3 linked regions of the Oreochromis niloticus genome follow. The protein of the gene in region 2 interacts with the protein of the main gene of each other region in a pairwise test. Links are inferred from orthologs where the notes say so. Each region holds a gene or a part of one and is shown on either strand. Other genes may lie near its edges. The genes, in order: ntaq1, kctd1 and exosc1.

Region 1 (6,569 bases), on a different chromosome or scaffold from region 2:
CCGTCTCCTCCCCATCATTAACCCCGTAGATTTAACCCAGTTTAGACGGACAAATATTTATTTTACCATCACATCACAATTCAAAATCACTGTTTAATTTGCAATTAGTGTATGGTCGTGTTTAACTTTTGCATGTCTGAGCCAGGGAAAAAATTTTTTTGGGTTAGAAAATCTGGCCCACCTTAGTGTGTAATTGAGTAGTCCTGCTATACATGGCCTTTTTCTTCTGTCATTTATGTCAATACATCAAATAAAATACTTTGATCTTATATTATTAGCTGTTGTTTATTTGCAAAGGTTATTCTCAACAGGGATGCTAGACAAAAACGGCGTTTTCTACAGACAGCCTAGCATACGCTCTCCACTTGCGAGTGAAAACAGAAAAAGAAAAAACACCCCTTCCCTATTGGTGTTAGAGTTTACCATGTCAGCCAATCAAAAAAATGATAAGGCAACATGTGACATTTGGTTGTTTAGGGAGAAGGGGAAGTTTTTAGGAGTGACACCCGTGACGGAAAGCGGGCGAGCGAAAGAAAGAGAGAGAGAGAGTTTTCATATGTGAGACATTAGTGACGTTTAGCGTGTTTGGAGGCTATAGTTAGTTTGTTGTATAGTTATTGTTTTGTATTGTGTGTCGGTTAGACTGCTGAATTTCATATTTGATCTAAAAAAGCTGTCAAAGGCAGATTCCAGTGTAAACGCTGTCTCCACATAGAAAACTGGACTGTTGCACCTCCAGTTGTCAGACCTGCAGGGTTTAGGCCTGTGGTGTTCTCCTCTGTCTTATACTGAACACAAACTACATTTTTTGGACTGGCACAAATAATTTGTGTGCCTTCTTATTTGATGCAGCACACCTGATTGTTCTGTAAATAGATTTAAATGGTTATATAAAAAACGCCTGAGGCCTTGGCTGCATTTTTAGGTAAATAGTACCATATAACTTTGTTGTTTGCAAAACTTGTGCATAATTTTTAGAAATGTACAATTTCTATTTGCATTTCAAGTTATGAAAATGATTCGTTAAACATGTAAAAAAATATAACTTTTTTCTACTCGGATTCTGAATTTTTTGTCTGAATTTAGATCAACTGTGCTAATATAGTATACCAAAATGAAAAAAATAACTCAAATTTCAGATATTTGAGGTTGTGCTGTAAATAATGATACCAAACAAGGCAAGAAAAACATATTTTAAAAGTGAAATATAGAAGTAAAATCAAAAGTAGTCAAGAACGGCCAATTATACCCGGGACCCCAGAGGGTTAAAAAAAAAAGACTTGAAAGGACTTGAAATTCAAAGTTTCGGACTTGGGACTTGACTTGAAAGTTGTCTGTCTTGACTTGCGACTTGACTCTGACTTGCTTGACTTTACTTGAGACTTGACTTGTGACTTGAGGATAAAGACTTGGGACTTACTTGAGACTTGCAAAACAATGACTTGGTCCCACCTCTGGTTGTATGGGCTCAAAATGTGGTCATAAATATTTTGTACTTGTAAATCAGTTTTGTACTTGTAAATCAGGATTTGTATGTGTAAAAAGAATTTGTGCGTGCATAAAAAAGATTTGTATGTGTAAAAAAGATTTGTGTGTGGACTTAGCCAAAACCCCCCCTGCAAGTTACAAGTATGAATTTGGACCCTATTTTTCTTCCTGTCATCTGATTGGTCAATGTCATGTCAATCACAAATGTAACAATCCAATCAGAGAACAGATGGGTTTGGCTGTCGGAGGGGCACTTTTTTGAACTGCAGGTCCTTGAAGGGAATAAATGCCCTTTTATATGCCAACCCAGCGTTTTCCTTCATCACCACGAAGGAAAACAGTCTGTGGTCGTCCGAGTTTGGTGATTTTTGTGTCACAGGTCTACGTGCTTAATACAGGGACTTCCACAGCCTTTTCAACAGCGCTGCGGACCGGGGGGGGGGGGGGGGGGGGGGGGCAGTGTTTTGGAAATGACAGTCTTCATTACAAAGCTTTCTTCGTTATGAATTAGCATACATGTTTTTATTGAACATTTGAAGAACTAGCAAAAAAACCAGAAACTGTGGTAGAGGACATAAAGTCAGAGATAGAAACGACAAGGAGCAGGTGCATCTAGTACAGGTAGAGCTGCTGCAAAAACCCACAGAGCTCAGCAGCCAGCGCAACAAATTCTGGATCCTTTGCTTTTAGTTAGCAGTTAGCATTAGCAGCACATCCTGCGTCCGATGTGAAAGGACCTTTATGCTGCGCACTGTGACTCACAGCAATGGTCCCGGGTCAGCCCTGACTTTGTGTTAAACTAATCCTAAAGTAATAATGGTATTTCTAACCACTGACATACCACAACTTTATCCTTTCAACAGCTGCTGAAAGTAAGGGGACCTAGCTGCTATCGGATATTTATATAGAGATCCTCCAGCTTCAAACTGTATTACCCTTCAAGGACCTGCAGTTCAAAAAAGTGCCCCTCCGACAGCCAAACCCATCTGTTCTCTGATTGGATTGTTACATTTGTGATTGGCATGACATTGACCAATCAGATGACAGGAAGAAAAATAGGGTCAAAATTCGTACTTGTAACTTGCAGGGGGTTTTTTGGCTGAGTCCACACACAAATCTTTTTTACACATACAAATCTTTTTTACGCACGCACAAATTCTTTTTACACATACAAATCTTTTTTACACATACAAATCTTTTTTACGCACGCACAAATTCTTTTTACACATACAAATCTTTTTTACACACACACAAATCTTTTTTACACATACAAATCTTTTTTACGCACGCACAAATTCTTTTTACACATACAAATCCTGATTTACAAGTACAAAACTGATTTACAAGTACAAAATATTTATGACCACATTTTGAGCCCATACAGTTGACGCGACACAAAGTAAACTGCACGCTTGAAATCTGTGTAATAAAATGTATGAGGGGAATGATAACGAAGACAAGATTTTCCAGATCGTTGACTCTTGCTGTCTAGTGAACAGCATTGTGACGTTTGTCTTGTATTATGTTCATATGGACATAAAGTCAGAGAGATACATGTTTTGAAAAGACTAGGAGCAGGCGCATCTAGTACACGTAGGGCGGCCGCAATAAAGGACGTACCAGCAGAGCGCAGAGGCCAGCCAGCGCAACACGTAGGTCCTTCCCTCTAGTTAGCGGTGAGCGGAGCGCAAGCCGCGTCCGCTGTCTGGGAGGATTATTCCTTACAATGATATTGTGATTTTTATTCTTATACTGACAAATTTTTTAAAAAAAAAACAAAAAAAAACTGCGCTAAAAGGAAAACGGAAATCTGAACTGGCCAATCATAGTGGTTGCAGCTCCTTTGACAAGGCGTGTGTTTATAATTCTCAGGAGCCAAGTAACGTCAGGTAATGTTCTGACACAGAGCCTGCACGGTCACCTCTGGGAGGTATGTCGGGACTCACCAGTAGCAGCTCGTGTACACGCAGTCCTCGCGCATCGGAACGAGTCTCCGATTCATGATCGGGTGTTACACTGAAAGAGCTCCAAGGGAAACGGACTGACACCAAATCCGCTAAGGAAAGTGGACTTTCAAATTAAAAGCATCGACAAACTGGGGTCCAACTGCTAATTTAACTTCGCTGCCGCCACAAGAAATGAGCTTCAGTGCTCCCTTAGTTACCTCCTTTATTTGTGACGCTGAAGCATCCTTCATGAAAGGAGAACATCGTTTATAGCAAAGTACCATAAGAGAAACAAACTGACCTCTGAACCTGTTAGCTAGCTTAGATTTTCAGAGAATAACTAAACTTTAGCAGTATACAGTCTCCCATCACTCAACTCCTTCTGCTCAGCACCATAAATCATCAGAAAATAATTGAAATACAAACTCAAAAATGTATTTTTGTAATAAAACATTTCGGCTTTTTTTTTTTTTTGAAGACTTGTCAAATCTCTAAGGAATTTTTATTTTTGTAAACATCTGCACTGCAAATTTCACAAGTTTTATTAGATTTGAGATAAAATACTTAATTTATACATTTAACTGAACAAATCTGTTCATGTCAAATTGATTATACGGTTAACTAAAAATTATATGAATGAAATTTTTTCACTGAAATATAAATAAAACCCAGACAGATCTGGATCATCACTCCAGAAACTAATTTAAAACAAACTAACGAGCAAATCGAAAACCAGAATAACTGGTGAAATGGGCGGGCTTGACAGGGGGTCCAGGCTCCTCAGCTAACTCTGTAAAGATGGCTGCCATGATATCTGAACTTAACATCTTAGACCTGATCGATCACCCACAAACAGCCAATTAGGCATGTTTTTATTCATCTTTAATGGCCCTAGACAGGAAAGGGATGTCACACTGCTGATCAATGTCAGCTCCTTTCACCAGACTGACAGCAGACACACACACACTCAAAAACAGTTCAGTTTATTCAAAAAGGAACTGACATCACAGCAAGGAAAACAGTGAGGCAAGAACATTGTGTCTGAAAGTAAAAACATTAGGAAAACGGCATCTGTGGTTGCTAAGCACGTTGCTATGTGAAGAGGCGGATAGTAGCATCGGCGCCAGAGGAGAAGACCCAGGGTTGCGTGGGGTGAAAGGTCACATCCAGAACACCGAGATCATGAGTCATCACATGACCTCTGAGGACTTTCACTGGGACGATGAGTGGATTCTGCAACAGGTCACTGTGGGGGTAGCAAGGAGGGTGGGGTTAGAGTGCAACTGAGAGGAGGAAAAATAAGTGCGCGTGTGTGTGTGTGTGTGTGTGTGTGTGTGTTTTACTTGTAAACAGTCCCATGACAGACGATCACTGAGCCATCATCGGACGCCGAGGCAAACAGCGGGTACAGTCTGTGATAGGCCACACCCCTCACTGCTTTCTTATGGTGTCTGTAGAAAGAAGGTGATCCATATCACATGATAAATGATTAAAAAAAAAACCAAAAAAAACCCCACATCTGATCAATATGTAGTATTCTACAATCAATGATACACCAATATCAGTGCCCTGATTGAGTAAACACACTTCCACATACAACATACATCCTCACCTTCCTGGTGCAGGTCTGACTGAAATCTTATATTTCCTAAACTCCTGCACCTGCTAGGCTGTGAAGGCACTGCAGATCTTTTTTTTTTTTTTCTTCTTCTTTCTTTCTTTCTTTCTTTCTTTCTTTCATTTAAACAATGCTGCTTTATGTACAATTCAGCTCTGGCTATGCAAAATTCTGTTGGCAGCAATGTATAAAATGTGAAAAATACAAGCTGAACACAAGAGGGAGCATTATAAAATAAAGAGCTATAATCATTTTAAAACCGGGATACCATACAAATAAACTACATGGCAGTTCAGAATAGAGAGTAATTCACACTTTTCTTAGGTTTAAAGGTAACCCAGACACCTCAGAAAATATGTGGATTTTGTTGATGACAAGAGGGATTTGTTCTGACCTTTTGAGGAAAACTGTAGTATCATCTGCCAGCTGAGTGCTTAGGTCTATACATGTGACATTGTGATTTTCATATAGTGAAACGTTCTTTAAAACAAACTGAGGTTGCATGAAAACACTCTGTAGGTTAGTGCAGGATAGACAGGTTAAACAGTGCACTGTCAGTGTGAAGGATGGCAATTACCCAGGACAACTCAAACTCACAAAACACTTGTTAAATTCAGGTGTGTAAAGAGCAGTAAACCTCAGGGCAGCAGCAGTAGCCCAGATCAGCTGATCACAGCCTGTGGACTAAGAAAATGTACTGGAGCTTTCAACAGAAATGATTGTGAACTGTGATTGTTTTCCTCACACTGAACTACTGCAACAAGCCTTTAACCACCCACCTCACCAATGTGAGCTATGGTCTGAGTAACCCCCATCACTCAGGCCACTCACACATGGACTCTATTCAGTCTTTTTCTTTGCACTACTTTGAAGCACTTTTCAAGTTGTTCTCTAACTTGGGCATTTCTATGTGCCTCCCACTTTAATCTCTTCCTTACTCATTTTCTGTTTAGAGACAAAGTCACATTCTACAATGTAGACAACAGAAAATAGAGCCATTTTCCCCTTCTTGTTCCTCTGCTTATGTTCTACTTAACTGATTCAAGCTGAGCGCATTTATTATCATCGAGACTAACATGAAATTTGTATTCTCATCTACTGCATTAATATAGCAGAAGGTTTATTTAGCTTTGCAGAAAAATAGGTGGTAGAAATGTTCTTTAAGGAGATAGTTTTCAGAGCCTGTACTTTTTCTGTTGTACTTGAATAAAGAAGTTGAATCAGTACTTTTACAGGAGTATTTTTTTTTTAAATACTAGTACCTGTACTTCTACTAAAGTACAGAATGTCTGTACTTTTGCCACCTCTGCCCAACCAAACCCAAATCAGCCTCCTCCAACAGGCTCTTCAGCCACAATCTCTCCAAATCTGTAATTAATCTTATAAATATTCACTTGTTAACTCTAACCCACCGGTGCTTTACCTGTACTCAGCATTGATGCAGCTGTCTGTGAATCTACTTAATCTATAACTTCTGACTAAGTCTAGTCTAGCTGTGTTAGATACTCACTCTAACA
Region 2 (6,569 bases):
CAATCTCTGGAAACACATCTTCGATCAGGGCCTTGTCACCGCTGAGTGTGATCCTCTCGCCCAGGTCGGGTGCAACACGCACCACCAAGCACTCGCAGGGACGGGACACCCGACCTAGCTCCTGGTCCTGGCGCCAGCGCTCCAGCTCAGCAAGCATGGGCTGCAGCTGGAAATATCGTGCTTCCTCATACAGCAAACTGTAGTCCTGTAGGATATAAACGTTGAAGGGTTTTCACATCATTGCATTCCCGAAAAAGAAATGTGAAGTTGTCGGCCTTAACGGTTTACACATTAAAACCATGGTAAATATGGTATATTTTCAAATACGCGTCAAATATGTTGTTCCTGTTGATTATTCTGTTTATATTTCAAAGTATTTTGTAATATTTTCTGTTTTTTTTCCTCCTAGATCGATGCTTAATTGTACAATATTATCTTCTACATGGGTAAACTTGATGCAGAATTCAGAACAATTTGGATACTAGAGAGCAACATAATAAAAGACACAAAAAGCAAAACAGTTAAAAGTTGTCATTTTCTTTCTAAAGCTGAGATATTACAAAGAAAAGAAAAAACAAGGAAGCTTTAAAAGCACTGTTCTACATGAATGAACAATAAACCCTAGTCGAGACACCACTCAGGAAAAATTACAAAAGATCCAAAGTAGAGAAGATACAGGGCGACGTGTAACACAGGGTTGCATGGGGTAGAGGAGCAGATCCTTTACTCACAGCACTGCAGGGCCTAAACTGCACCACATTCCAGTTTTCACATGATCCTCTCAACATCTACTCACTGAGCATATGGCCTTAGCTTGAACTTAGTCTTGTCTTTTGCCTTTGCTTATTTTAACTGACATACTTTTTGCACAGTGGACAGTCCATCTGATAATGTGGTTATTTGTTTTCTCCCAGGGCAAGTTCAGTAATTATTGCTTAAACATTTGAGGGGGGGTGGGGGTTCTTATGTGCCACATACAGTGACAGGCACCTTGGATGGACACTTGGCACAAGAACATAGAGAGCTGCAGAAAAAAAGCATATCGTATGGCCATGGGTGTCAGTATAATTGTTTCAGTACGAGCCTACTGTTTTACTTATGTATTGCAAAAGAATCTTTGCCAGCTCGTAGCTAGAAGGGATCAAACTGCATCTCTTGATGAGGAAATGCTTTGCAATTGGGGTTTGTTTGGTAGAGCCCTGATATTTTCTCTCCAGCATGTGAACCATTTTCAGTAACTCAGGGAGGACCAGTGACCAAAGGCGTTCCACGGCCTTAGCATTCATTGTGTGTGTTAAGTTGTAGGACTGCTGACTGGCTGATGGGAATTTACAGTTTCTAGGATGGGCATCGACTTACTTTGAAGTCGTCGGGGATGAGGAGCTTGGACGTCCTGAGGAAGTTGAGGATGTAGCGGAACATGTGTCCATCCCTGTCAATGAAGTAGTGCTGCTTCAGGCTGTCCAGGACTATAGGCTCTGTGCCATCAAAGAGACGACCAATTCTGCCCGTAAGAGAGAGAGAGGAGGGGTGGTGATTTAGGCAGAAAGGGAGGTAAGGAAGGAAGAAGGAGAACAACATATCAGGATTAAGAATTCTATCCTTTGTTTTTTTTTGTTGTTGTTGTTTTTTTACACTCACAAACAAAAGCTTGTAACAATTTTTAAAGCCTAAACTTGATCTCACTAAATCTATCTTAAAGAAAGAAAGAAAGGTGGTCCGGAGAGGTCAAGACCAGCTGGTGCTTGGTCGCCTGAGGCAGGGAGGCAGTCACCCCCGGGCCTGTGCTCGGAGCGACAGTGTGGCCTCCCAGCCTCCAGATGGCTCCATGCCCTTTGGCTCTTTACTGCTGCTGTGACATCTGTCAGAATAACCAAGTTGCCTTTGTCTGCACTCTGCATTCTGCACTTAAAGCGCTCACAAATTGTTTACCCCTTTAAAATAGCAGAGTTTTACAAAATGTGACATCTGACCATCACGTTACAACAATAACCAATAAACAACAAACTGCGAGGAAATTCTGACAAAAACCATCAGGCTCCAGCAGAAAACATCCCTGGTAAAACACACAATACATGCAAAAATCCTGCCACAAATGGTTATCCCTGACCCTGGATCTTAACCTTCCCCCTCCACTTAAAATACATCTGTATGGCAGGGCAAACTCACCGAGATTCTGGAAATTTTGTTAAGGTGGCCAGACTGCTGGTGTACATGTGCCCACCTACATCGATGTGCACAGGAGCATTGGACTTGGTGAGCTGAGCAGGTGTTGGGATGCCCTGGTTACTCAAGGGAGACACCGGTGACCGTGTGATCATGGGCCTGGACATGCTGGAGCGATTATCCTGAGGGAGCACAAAGGAAATGCATGTAGGAAGACACATTAGATTGCAATCTTCTGCTGCAAATGAAACAGACAATTAAAACAAGTCTGGGGAGGATGGACAAAATTAGTATATTAGGAAAGAAAAAAGAAAGAAAGGCTAATAAGAGACAACAATCTGTGCATTTCTTTAGTCTAATATATTCTGCAGTCAGGAGTGGAGAGGAAGGGTGGGTTTTTTTTCTTGTTACCCTTTTCTGTGCAAGATAGAGCAGCCCGACCTTGACCTGAATGTTGCCACAATCCACAAGCATCCACTCCTGTGGGCCATAATCTCCAAAACCAAATTAATTTGGAGCATCAATCTCAGTCATGAAAATGAGCAATAATGATTCCTGATTTGAATACTATAATAGGATTTGGAGAATAACGTCTCATGATAACCTACAAACACCATTAGGAGACGATTTCTGTTAAGCTCTGAGATGAAAAATGACTTTATACCCGAAAAAGTTTGAGAAGACTGGAGAAAATCTCGAAAGTGTCCTGATCACTAAGGAGTGGGCAGGACATTAGACACATCTTCTTTAAAAAACAAATTAAAAAAAAACGTGAACTCAAGACATACATTTAACAGTAAATTGCACAAGAAGGACTGTCTGACACTATGTGCGCAGTCTACGGTTGAGGGCATCGAGGAGATGATTTGTTTGATTCGGTAAATTAAAAAAAACACAAAACAACCAAAAAACAAAGTGTCCGGCACTTCGCCCCATAAAGTCGAAAGTTAAATCGCTCTCCCCCTCCCCAGACAACACGACACTTTTACGCGTTTACCTGCGCCGGCATCACTGTGGTTGGAGAGGAAGTCACCGAATGGTCATTTTGCTTCAGAGATGCTGCGGGAACGGGCTCTCCTCTGACAGCGAACATCAGCGAGCTCTCCCTGCACTCCGCCGCTCGGATCGGGAGCCGTTTGAGGGAAGCGTGCACGGACTCATCCACGGAACTGATTGGACGCGGTCGCTTTCTCGCCTTCTGATGCGTTAAGTCCATGATATCCGTTTCGTCCATTACGGCTCAGACGTTTAGGGTTAAAGAGATAGGAGAAAGCGGTGAGGCTTTTTTTTTTCACCCTCTCCAACACACCTGCCAAAAATGAAGAGGCGTGAAAAAAAATAGCGAGCACCGGGGGTGAGAGCGAAAGCCGTTGCTGTCACACGGAGCGGCTTCTTTGCAGTGGCTGGGAGAAGTCAAAGCCCCCGACAACATTAGCATTGTAGTGCCCGCGGCTCTTTTGGGCTGTCGCTGTTTCAGTGGCAGGTATGTGTGTCGCATTTTCGCGGAATGAAACAAATCCTGCCTTAGCCTGCAAAATGCGATCGTCTGCTTATAATGCGATTTGGGTTAACACGCCACATCTGGACCTTGAACAGCTGGCCTTTGCCCCCCTTTTCGGAGCAGTGTTTCCACGCGCGACCACTTCCCCCCCACCCTACACGTTGCTGCCCATTGTTCAGCAGCAGTTTTTGTTCAGCCTTCCAACACATCAGTCGAACAAAGTTGAGTCTGTGACAAATCCGAAACAGTGGCCAACCTTCTCAATCACATGGACAAAAAAAGAAAAAAAATACCCCTGCAATAGCCCATTCAAAAAAAAAAAAAACCTTCCCCCACCCATACACACACTTACCAGCCATAAGCACCTGATTGATTGTGAGCTTTCCAGTCACCCAAAAGCAGTCAGGAACATCACTCTTTTATTTTTTAGATGACCAAATGCATTCTGAATATGATGTTTTAACGGAAAAGACTCTTCACTATTTACAGGCTGCAAGATGTTATCAATAACTCAAACGTCCTTGAGGTCAGCAAAGAAACACTGCATGTGAAGTACCAGCTAACACCCCTTCAAGTCAACGGTATGACCCTCAGAGCAGACGCAGACAGCAGCTATAAAACTTCTTCATCTGTTTCTCCCTGGCTCTGTGTCTGACAAGTGTTAGAGCTGCGGTGCGGTGTGGTGTTAACACCACCTCCAGTGACCACATCAGCATTGCAAAGCTACCACACTAATGATATCGTGGAGTATAAAACCAGACCACAACATGTCCAATTGCGGTTAAAAGTACTGCCACAGCACTCTCCTGGGTTGTTTTTTTTTCCCGCAGAAGAAATGTAGGGAATCCACAATTTTTAATAACATTCAGATTAAAATTAATTAGTTCAACCACTGGCCTTAAAACATCCACATTCCTGTTTCTCATTGGCAGTGTGAGTTTCACACCTAGATACCCAATTAGCAATTAAGCTTGCCTTTGAGTGTAGGCCTCCAATGCGGTGTGTGATCCTGGTCTGATTTGCATGCCACTTGTGCACGCGCTGATAAGCGCAGGCAGCAGCCATACATAGTTTTAAAATTCAACTCCAGAATCCCTCGCAGAAGGCAAAGGGGCCTGCGGGGCAAAAGAGAGAGAAATCACATGGCTGCTCTTCAAAAGGGGACCTGTGTAAGGCAGCCGGCAAAGTGCGTGGGATCACACTCAGAATGCAGGTAATTTGTTCCCTGACTAATTTGTGGAGATGGTGGTGTGTGTGTGTGTGTGTGTGAGAGAGCGAGTGAGTGAGAGAAAGTGTGTGCCTGTGGAGAGTAAGTTCTGAAAACAGCTTGGTGGAATTGGATTTCCTCAAAGCCTTGTCATTGCAAAGGTGGATTGAGTGTAAAATCTGTGAGGCATTATGGAAAATTGCAGGGGAGAAAGAAGAGAGAGTGAAAGAGAACGGGTGGTTGGGTGGGTGGGAAGTGGAGGGTTGGGAGCTGGAGGGAGCCAGTTGAGGGAATGAGCTCTCATATCACAAAATCATCCCGAGTTGCTGGAAATACAGACGTGTCGTGAACCTTTCGTCGGACCCGCGTCTACGTCAAATTTGTTGTAGCTCAAAATCGGTTCAAAGGTCACAGCGTCCTCAGAATCCACAAGTACGAATCCTGAGATGTGCCACACGAGCGCTTTTCCTACCTGTTGCCATTTTGAATTTGGCACAGAGGTACAGAAGTCTCCCATGCATGTTAGGATGTTTGCGAAAGAAGTCAAAACGTATGTGTTTAGGGAATCTGTTCGTTTATCCAGCTCGTGTAATTTTGTTGCACCACAGCATGCACAAACAAATCTAAAACAGGCGCAGAGCATCAAAGCCCGGAGCAGTCGAGCTACTCCCTTTTGTTTCTGTTGTTTTTCACCAGTTTTCTTTCAGGCCTTTAATGCAAGACCATCTTTCTTCAAACTTTAAGGAACAAACACCATACAGTAGCTGGGGTTGAATGTTTAAGAAATAGCAGGGTATGTTTTCCACTAATAATTAATCCAAAAACATGGAAAGCAAGGATCTGTCTGCTGTTGTCATAATTGAGGGGCCTTCTGGGGTTCAGCATATGTAACAGACTAACTTTAAGTTGGCCATCCCAGAATGCAACTCTTCACTGTTTCGACATATCTCACAAGATACAATTAGCATTTCAGATCAGAGCATTAACATTCAGTTCAAGGCAGGCAGACTGGTATTTACATAATCTGGATGGGTTGTCTCAGCTTTGTTGCCTGTGGCCATTTGTTTGAAATGTCCATACACAGACAGCTACAAACTCTGGGTTAACATCAGTTGCCGCTAGCTGTATATATAAAATATATATGAAAAAGGTAATGATGAACTGTTATAACAGCATGGTTTGGGTAAAAACTGTAAGCTAGATCAAATACATATCCCACTGGACTTTGTATACTTTGTAAATATAAAGTAACTGCATGCTGCAGCAAAGCTAAAATACTGCATTTCAATAAAACTTTTGTCATTGTCATTATTGTTTTTGCATTCACATCTTTGTCTTTGTCTCCAAACTGACTCCACGTCTTACACTTAACAGTAAAGGGATTATTTGGTATGTTTTGGATGACCTGTGGAAATGTGTTTAGTATGAAAAAGTACTAAGGCATTTAATGAAAGAATGAAGAGGTTGCCCACACAAACACAAACACATCACCACATTTGAACACACTACGCAAACCTGTACTTTAAAGCATCTTGTTGAGTTCATGTGTAGTCACCTTTTCAATTTTTGGCTGTAACATGCATAAAAATAATCATTTCCAGTACAGCACGGTGGTCCGGATAAGCTTTGATTCTCCACACGATCAAGAATTTCATACACAGCTGTTAACTATAAAACAAGCCATAGTAGTGCTTA
Region 3 (6,569 bases), on a different chromosome or scaffold from region 2:
GTCTCCGCGGCATTGTCAAGCACCTGGAGGGTAAGGAAAAGAGAAACTTGTGAAACATTTCTCAGCACTAAAAACACCTTTCAGTGTTATTTCACTTACTATGAGTCAACAATGAATTGGGGTACCTGCTAAACCTTCATAAAGGCCTATGAACTTGATATCATCCATTTGGGTTTTAGGGAAGTCAGAAATTATCTTATAGACAAGAGCGTAGAGTGCTAAGTTATTAGCTGTTGCAGTGGCTTAACTAGCAGATAGTTATTGGTCTAGGTGGCCACCGCATGTGAATTAATGTGACTACATTCCTAGTAGTGCAAACTAGTGCAAACTTATGACTGTGATAACTTTAGAGTTACACAATGTTGGTTTTTGAAATTATACCATAGAGGCATCTACTAAAAATCTCAGGCAAGTTTGAGTCCTGGTAACCTTGACCTCAAGGTCAAGGTCACCAGGACCTTGACCTTGAGTTTGAATCTGTGACCTTGAACTCAAAGTCAAGGTCATAGGTCACATTTTATACTATTTCTGTATCTACTAGCAGGCTGAGGGATAGGCAGTATTATCTGTTCCAAGCAGGTTTATTTTAGTTCTTAAGTTGTGAATTTTAACATAAGAGTTTAACAATCATGCGTTTGTCATACAAAGCTACCATCTGCTGTCAAACATTTTAACGCGGTCTAAAGCAGCAGCAGCAGCTACATGCAAATGAATTACAGCTCTGTGTCTGTCATTTTTTTTTTCATAGGTATGTCAGAGGAGGCCATCATGGAGCTGAACCTGCCCACAGGCATCCCCATCGTGTATGAGCTGGACAAGAACCTGAAGCCTATTGGGCCCATGCAGTTCCTGGGAGATGAGGAGACTGTAAAGAAAGCCATGGAAGCTGTGGCTGCTCAGGGCAAAGCCAAGAAATAGACTTGTCCTTCCTTTGGGAGTAAAGAATCATCATCTGCTTTTTTTTTTTTTTTTTTTTTTTTCTTTCCCCATCAAGTTGTGAAAGGGTCATTTACTGTTTGTGTCATCACAGACTTGAGGACAGGTAGACACAGAATGTGCACTTTATCTTAATACCACCCATTTTTCACAAAAATGTACAATCTGATGTTTAATTTGACTGCTCTTTACTTTGTTACATACTGAAACATGCATTTCATTATTAGACTGTGGATATCAGTTGTAATGTGGTTTAAGCACTGACCAAATATAAATTAGGGACCAGCAAACAGACTACCCCAGCAGAGTTCCAAGTATTCTTTCCAATTTACAATCCATGTAGATGAAGCGCAGCGGAAGCAGGAAAAACCAAAAGTTACACTGGCTTTGTTAAAGAGAGAGCAGATTTGCTCTAGACTGCTGAATATTGTTTGCTGTGGCATTGTGCTTAAAAATGAATAAATGTTGTGAGTCATTATGCAGTGTACTGTGTGTGATGTCTTTTTTTTTTTTTTCCAGGACAACTGCACTTTTTTTTTATATGGTAATTGAGAAATTTGTCTCAGTAAAAGGCAAATATTGAAATGCACTTTATCCAGTTCCCTCACTAAGTAAATGCGATTGGCAGAAATTAAAAGTTTGTTGTAATTAATTATGTGACAGTCCCTGTTTCTCCCTTTTCTGTCACAGTAACTGCTACTTCAGCAGCTGTTCTGTTGGTTAAACATATTTGTATTTCTTATATGCATCCATAGATTAGCACATTTCACAGGAGGCTCAGATACTTAGTTTTGTAAACTGCAACCAATCCAAAATATGAGAGAGTGTTTTAGTTTGTGGGATGGGGGCAAGTCTTTTTTTTTATTTTCTCGAAGGTTTGAGATGCACCGTAACAGGACTATGATAAACATGATTATTTTGAAAAAATGGCTGCTCGGTGGCAATTTTCCGATTATATGATTCTTTTAAAACCATGCTCAGAGAAACAGATTTTGAATAAAAGCATCGACAATTTAATTTACATTGTAGGGAAGTAATAAACCTAGGAAATCCCAATACTGGAAGTAGCTAACTTTCATAGCAGAGGTGGGTAGATTGATACCAATATCAATAGTATCAATAAGAATGCTGGTACTGGTGTCCGATACTTTAGCATCAGATTGCTACCAAATTTTGCAGTATCTCGCAGCAGTATTTCATAATTATCTGACCATATATGACTTATTCAATCATATAGTAATGCACACATGGCACGTACCCGCCCATGTGTGGCTCAGCAATCATGGCGGATCAACGCATTTTGTTCCGCTGACGCTGAATGACACTGACCAATCAGAATCTTTCTGTGCCCTTAGTCCTAACCAATAGGCTGCCTACGTACGCCTCTCGAAAACATGTCGCCGATGAAGCTGTGCGTTCCCGGTGAGTCCAGTAAATTCGTCTCTAAAAGCGCTTAAAAACTAAATATACCAGTGTGTAGATTGTATGTTGGGATATGTAGACAGCTTTAACAGCTTTAGAGTCATTTTCTATTAGAAAAGGAAGTTAAACTGCATTCTGAGCGTGTGAAACCCTGGTGATTATTTCCAGCTGCCATGCGTGGAGTGGGCTTTGGCTTCCCGTACTTGTAAGGCTGTAGTAACTTATTTTACAATCAATCACATGTTGGATCAGCTGACTGTCAGATGGAGTCGGGGTTTTCAGGCCTACCGTATCATGGTCTTTTACTGTATTTGCAGGGCTGTGAGTTACTGACTTTGGCTTTCCACGGCTGATGAGATCCGATCCTCAGCCCTGCCCATCTCCTCGGGCAAGATAACGCATTCCTGAGCTTTGTTTTGTCACACCCGTGGGAAAGCCGCAGGTCTATCCGGCGCATGGCAGTAGTGAACCTTAAATGAGTTGTCTGCAGGAGTAACATTTAACTTCATTCTAATTACGGGTGAAAGAGCACAAAGTAGCAAGATAATTAATTGTAGTGCAAGAAAAATGAAGGGTAGTATTGTGTCACATGACATAAATTATGTTTTGTGTTTTAATCTTCTTGTCCATGATGTGTTTTGTGCTTAAGGTTTGCAGATACACTGTTAGTCCCACAATGCTGTTACATCAAAGTATCCTCAGTTAGTCTCTCAGTTTCAGTTAGCAGATGATAACCAAAATAAGGGAAACTATTATTATTATTATTTTTATTATTCTTTAGTTATATATTATATAGTCTACGTTCACCATTGTAACAAAATATTCTGTTACAATGGTGGATGCTTATATTAAACATGGGCAACGTTTTAAATAATGATATGTACAGATCATCCCTGTAAGCCAGTAGCTCAGGCTTCAGACTCTACTGAATGCTAAGTTTCGTTTTTTTTTTCTACTTTTGGATCTTTGTTATGTCCTCAAGAGAGGGAGGATGTTCAATTTGTCTGTTTGTGAAGGGAAGTCAGTCAGATAAAGATGGTTGATGGAGATGTGAAACGGCTGGGTTCAGACATGGAGCAAAGCCCAGTATAAGATAAAGATTATTTTTGGTGATGACTCATGCAAAGATGTTTTTATTTTAATTCTTTTTTTAGAAGGAACAGTGCATCTCCAGAACCCAAACACTAACACATCTGTGTCTTTTTTTATACTTAGGTGACAAACTATGCAGCTCAGAAGACTGTATTCCTGGCACAGGAGTATACCTGCGACATGGCTACATATACTCGTCACTAGCAGGCTATGTGCTCAGGAAGAATGAGGGAGAGGAGGTGAGGGGTGTGGGTAAGACAGGGGAGGGGAAAGTTTGTTCAGCAGTGAGACAAGTACAAATGCCAGACTAAAGGTATTTTTGCAATGTCTTTTGATGTGAGTAAGCGAACTAGTTTTGTAATTGTCTAAGGTGATATTCACATCATATGGATAACTTCTACTGGGATTATTTTGTCTCCTTAGTTACCAGTGATTTCAGTTGTGAGGGAAACAGAAACACAACTGCTGCCAGATGTAGGAGCAATAGTCACCTGTAAGGTATGCAATAGAATAAGAAACTGTTACTATCGCTGCATGTTCTGAGTAAATAATCTTGCACAGTTTACAATCTGTTTTATTTATTTTTCATTTAACAGGTAACCAGCATCAATCCCAGATTTGCCAAAGTCCACATCCTTTATGTAGGATCCACCCCACTGAAGGACCGCTTTAGAGGCACGATCAGGTAACCACAAAATTTGAGCCAGTTTTTGTCTAATATTTTATTGTAGACTGTTCAGTTTTATTTATACAGCATCAAATCACAATAACAATTGCTTCAAGGCACTTTATATTGTAAGGTAAAGACCCTACAATAACACAAAGAAAACAGAGAAAACCCCAACAATCATATGATCCCCTATGAGCAAGCACTTTGGCGATAGTGGGAAAGAAAAACTCCCCTTTAACAGGAAGAAACCTACAGCAAAAACAGGCTCAGGAAGGGTGGCCAATAAGATAAGATGAGGACTGATTATTCAAGACCTTGTATGTGAGGAGCAGGATTTTCAATTCAATTCTGGATTTAACAGGGAGCCAATAAAGAGAAGCCAATATACGAGAAATATGCTCTCTTTCTAGTCCCTGTCAGTACTCTCGCTGCAGCATTTTGGATTAGCTGAAGGCTTTTCAGGGAGGTTTTAGGACATCCTGATAATAACGAATTATAGTAGTCCAGCCTAGAAGTAATAAATACATGAACTAGTTTTTCAGCGTTAGTCTGAGACAGGATCTTTCTCATTTTGGAAATGGAAGAAAGGCGTCTTACATTTTTGTTTAATATGTGCATTAAAGGACATCCTGGTCAAAAATCAATCCAAGACTCCTCACAGTGTTACTGGAGGCCACGGTAATGCTATCCGGAGTAAGCATCTGTTAGACACTGCATTTCAAAGATTGTTAGGACCGAGTACATTAATCCCAGTTTTATCTGAATTTAGAAACAGAAAATTAGAGGTCATCCAGGTTTGTATGTCTTTAAGACATTCTTGTAGTTTAACAAATTGTTGTGTGTTATCTGGCTTCATAGATAAATGAATGAATAGATAAAGTTTAGTGTTATCTGCATAACGTGAAAATAAGTGAAAATGTATGCTATGTCTTCTAATGGTACTGCCTATGGGAAGCAAGTATAATGTAAACAGAATTCTAGAATGGAACCCTGTGGAACTCCATAGTTAACCTTCCTATCTGAAGAGGACTCATAAGAAGCTCATTTGTAACCTTCACTGAAGCTGATTCTGTAAAGAAACTGTTAGAAATAGCAGGTGAAGTAAGAATGAAGAAGCCTTTTTAAAGTTGCTGCTATCCTATGATTGGAACTAAACATAAAAATAGTAATTACTGCATCCAGATTTTAAGATGAATTCAAAAACATATTTTTTTATTGTTTTTTTTTTCAAAATAAAAATTAATCTAATTGTAATTCTCAGCAGTACTTCCCCAGCTAGTCTTTTTCCAACTCAAACTGATAAGTTGATTTAAAAACAACGAAATAAACTCATTAAAGTCTCTACTTAAACTCCATATATGCATGCCAAACCTTCAGACTGCTAATCGTGTGAGATGGGCCTGAGGCAGCCAAAAGCAAGACCTGTTTTGAGGAGGTGGTTGTAGAAAATGAAGGTGGAGCAGCAGCATTGACAGCATTGCTAGACTCAGAATCAGCGCTAGGGTTGCTACGGGTTTCAAAATATTATACTGTCGAGCAAGTTTTAAAAGTAATTTTAACAGAAGTATTTTCTTTCATTTTGCTTTGCTGAGCGAGATGCTCATAGCCACCACCATACAGATCTAACTCCAGTGTGAGGCGGTGTTTTGTGGACATAATATGGATATGCACAAAATTCTGGCCTAAACACAAACTCACTCTCTGTTTCTCTACAGAAAAGAAGATGTGCGTGCAACAGAGAAAGACAAGGTCTGTTTGATTTCCTGTTTTCCACTCACACCTTTCATTAGTTTCTTCTGCATATAATAATTTTTATTAAAATAAGGTGACATGTTTATTGGTAACCATTTTTCTTCCTGGTTACAGGTAGAGACATACAAAAGCTTCAGACCCGGTGACATCGTCTTGGCAAAAGTTGTATCCTTCACATTCTTATGCCGACACTGGTGGTTTTCAACCAGCGCATGCTTGTCATTTCTTTCTTCAACATTTACATAATTGTGGATTCATAACTCTGAATTCATTTCCAAGGCTGAGACTGTCAACACCAAGTTCCTCTTTTTTTATTTCCAAATGTGCTTGAGGGAGAATATTTCTCATAGTCAAAATAACTCCTGTGCCAAAAATGTTAATAAGAGTGAATGATGAATGTCTGTGGAAAGTATGCAGGTCATATGTAACTTTTATTTCTTCCTGGAAACGCATCAGGTCACCAAGACACAGCTTAAAAAACAAAAACAAAATGTGATGTGTGACATGTAAACGTTTCATCAACTGCCTTTACAAATTCACTCGTCCACTTCTGGAATAAGAATGATTAAATCCTGATTTGTATGCATTGATAAACCTTGACCTGACTGTGTCAGATTTCTCTCGGTGATGTTCAGTCTAACTACCTGTTGACAACAGCAGAAAATGAACTGGGAGTGGTCGTTGCACACAGTGAAGC

Evidence for each region.
Region 1: the proteins of kctd1 (region 2) and ntaq1 interact in binary tests that used the Homo sapiens proteins (3 or more experiments, as listed by UniProt). The two-hybrid records come from large-scale screens. The link is inferred for Oreochromis niloticus from reciprocal best matches to the Homo sapiens genes KCTD1 and NTAQ1.
Region 3: the proteins of kctd1 (region 2) and exosc1 interact in binary tests that used the Homo sapiens proteins (3 or more experiments, as listed by UniProt). The two-hybrid records come from large-scale screens. The link is inferred for Oreochromis niloticus from reciprocal best matches to the Homo sapiens genes KCTD1 and EXOSC1.

The regions. Positions count from the first base shown.
Region 1 is NC_031985.2:36,120,086-36,126,654, forward strand, and holds the start of ntaq1 (protein N-terminal glutamine amidohydrolase), read right to left. Parts: upstream 3,585-6,569; 5' UTR 3,491-3,584; coding exon 3,435-3,490; intron 1-3,434. Other genes in the region: ribosome biogenesis protein bop1, read right to left, coding at 4,527-4,680, 4,778-4,885. UniProt on the Homo sapiens protein: Mediates the side-chain deamidation of N-terminal glutamine residues to glutamate, an important step in N-end rule pathway of protein degradation.
Region 2 is NC_031982.2:17,123,201-17,129,769, forward strand, and holds the start of kctd1 (BTB/POZ domain-containing protein KCTD1), read right to left. Parts: upstream 3,874-6,569; 5' UTR 3,401-3,873; coding exon 3,164-3,400; intron 2,349-3,163; coding exon 2,170-2,348; intron 1,505-2,169; coding exon 1,360-1,504; intron 206-1,359; coding exon 1-205. UniProt on the Homo sapiens protein: May repress the transcriptional activity of AP-2 family members, including TFAP2A, TFAP2B and TFAP2C to various extent.
Region 3 is NC_031971.2:31,386,527-31,393,095, reverse strand, and holds the start of exosc1 (exosome complex component CSL4), read left to right. Parts: upstream 1-2,596; 5' UTR 2,597-2,621; coding exon 2,622-2,679; intron 2,680-2,785; exon of another isoform or gene 2,786-2,925; coding exon of another isoform or gene 2,926-2,932; intron 2,933-3,573; coding exon 3,574-3,689; intron 3,690-3,873; coding exon 3,874-3,948; intron 3,949-4,046; coding exon 4,047-4,135; intron 4,136-5,835; coding exon 5,836-5,869; intron 5,870-5,986; coding exon 5,987-6,037; intron 6,038-6,486; coding exon 6,487-6,569. Other genes in the region: pgam1b (phosphoglycerate mutase 1b), read left to right, coding at 1-30, 749-918. UniProt on the Homo sapiens protein: Non-catalytic component of the RNA exosome complex which has 3'->5' exoribonuclease activity and participates in a multitude of cellular RNA processing and degradation events.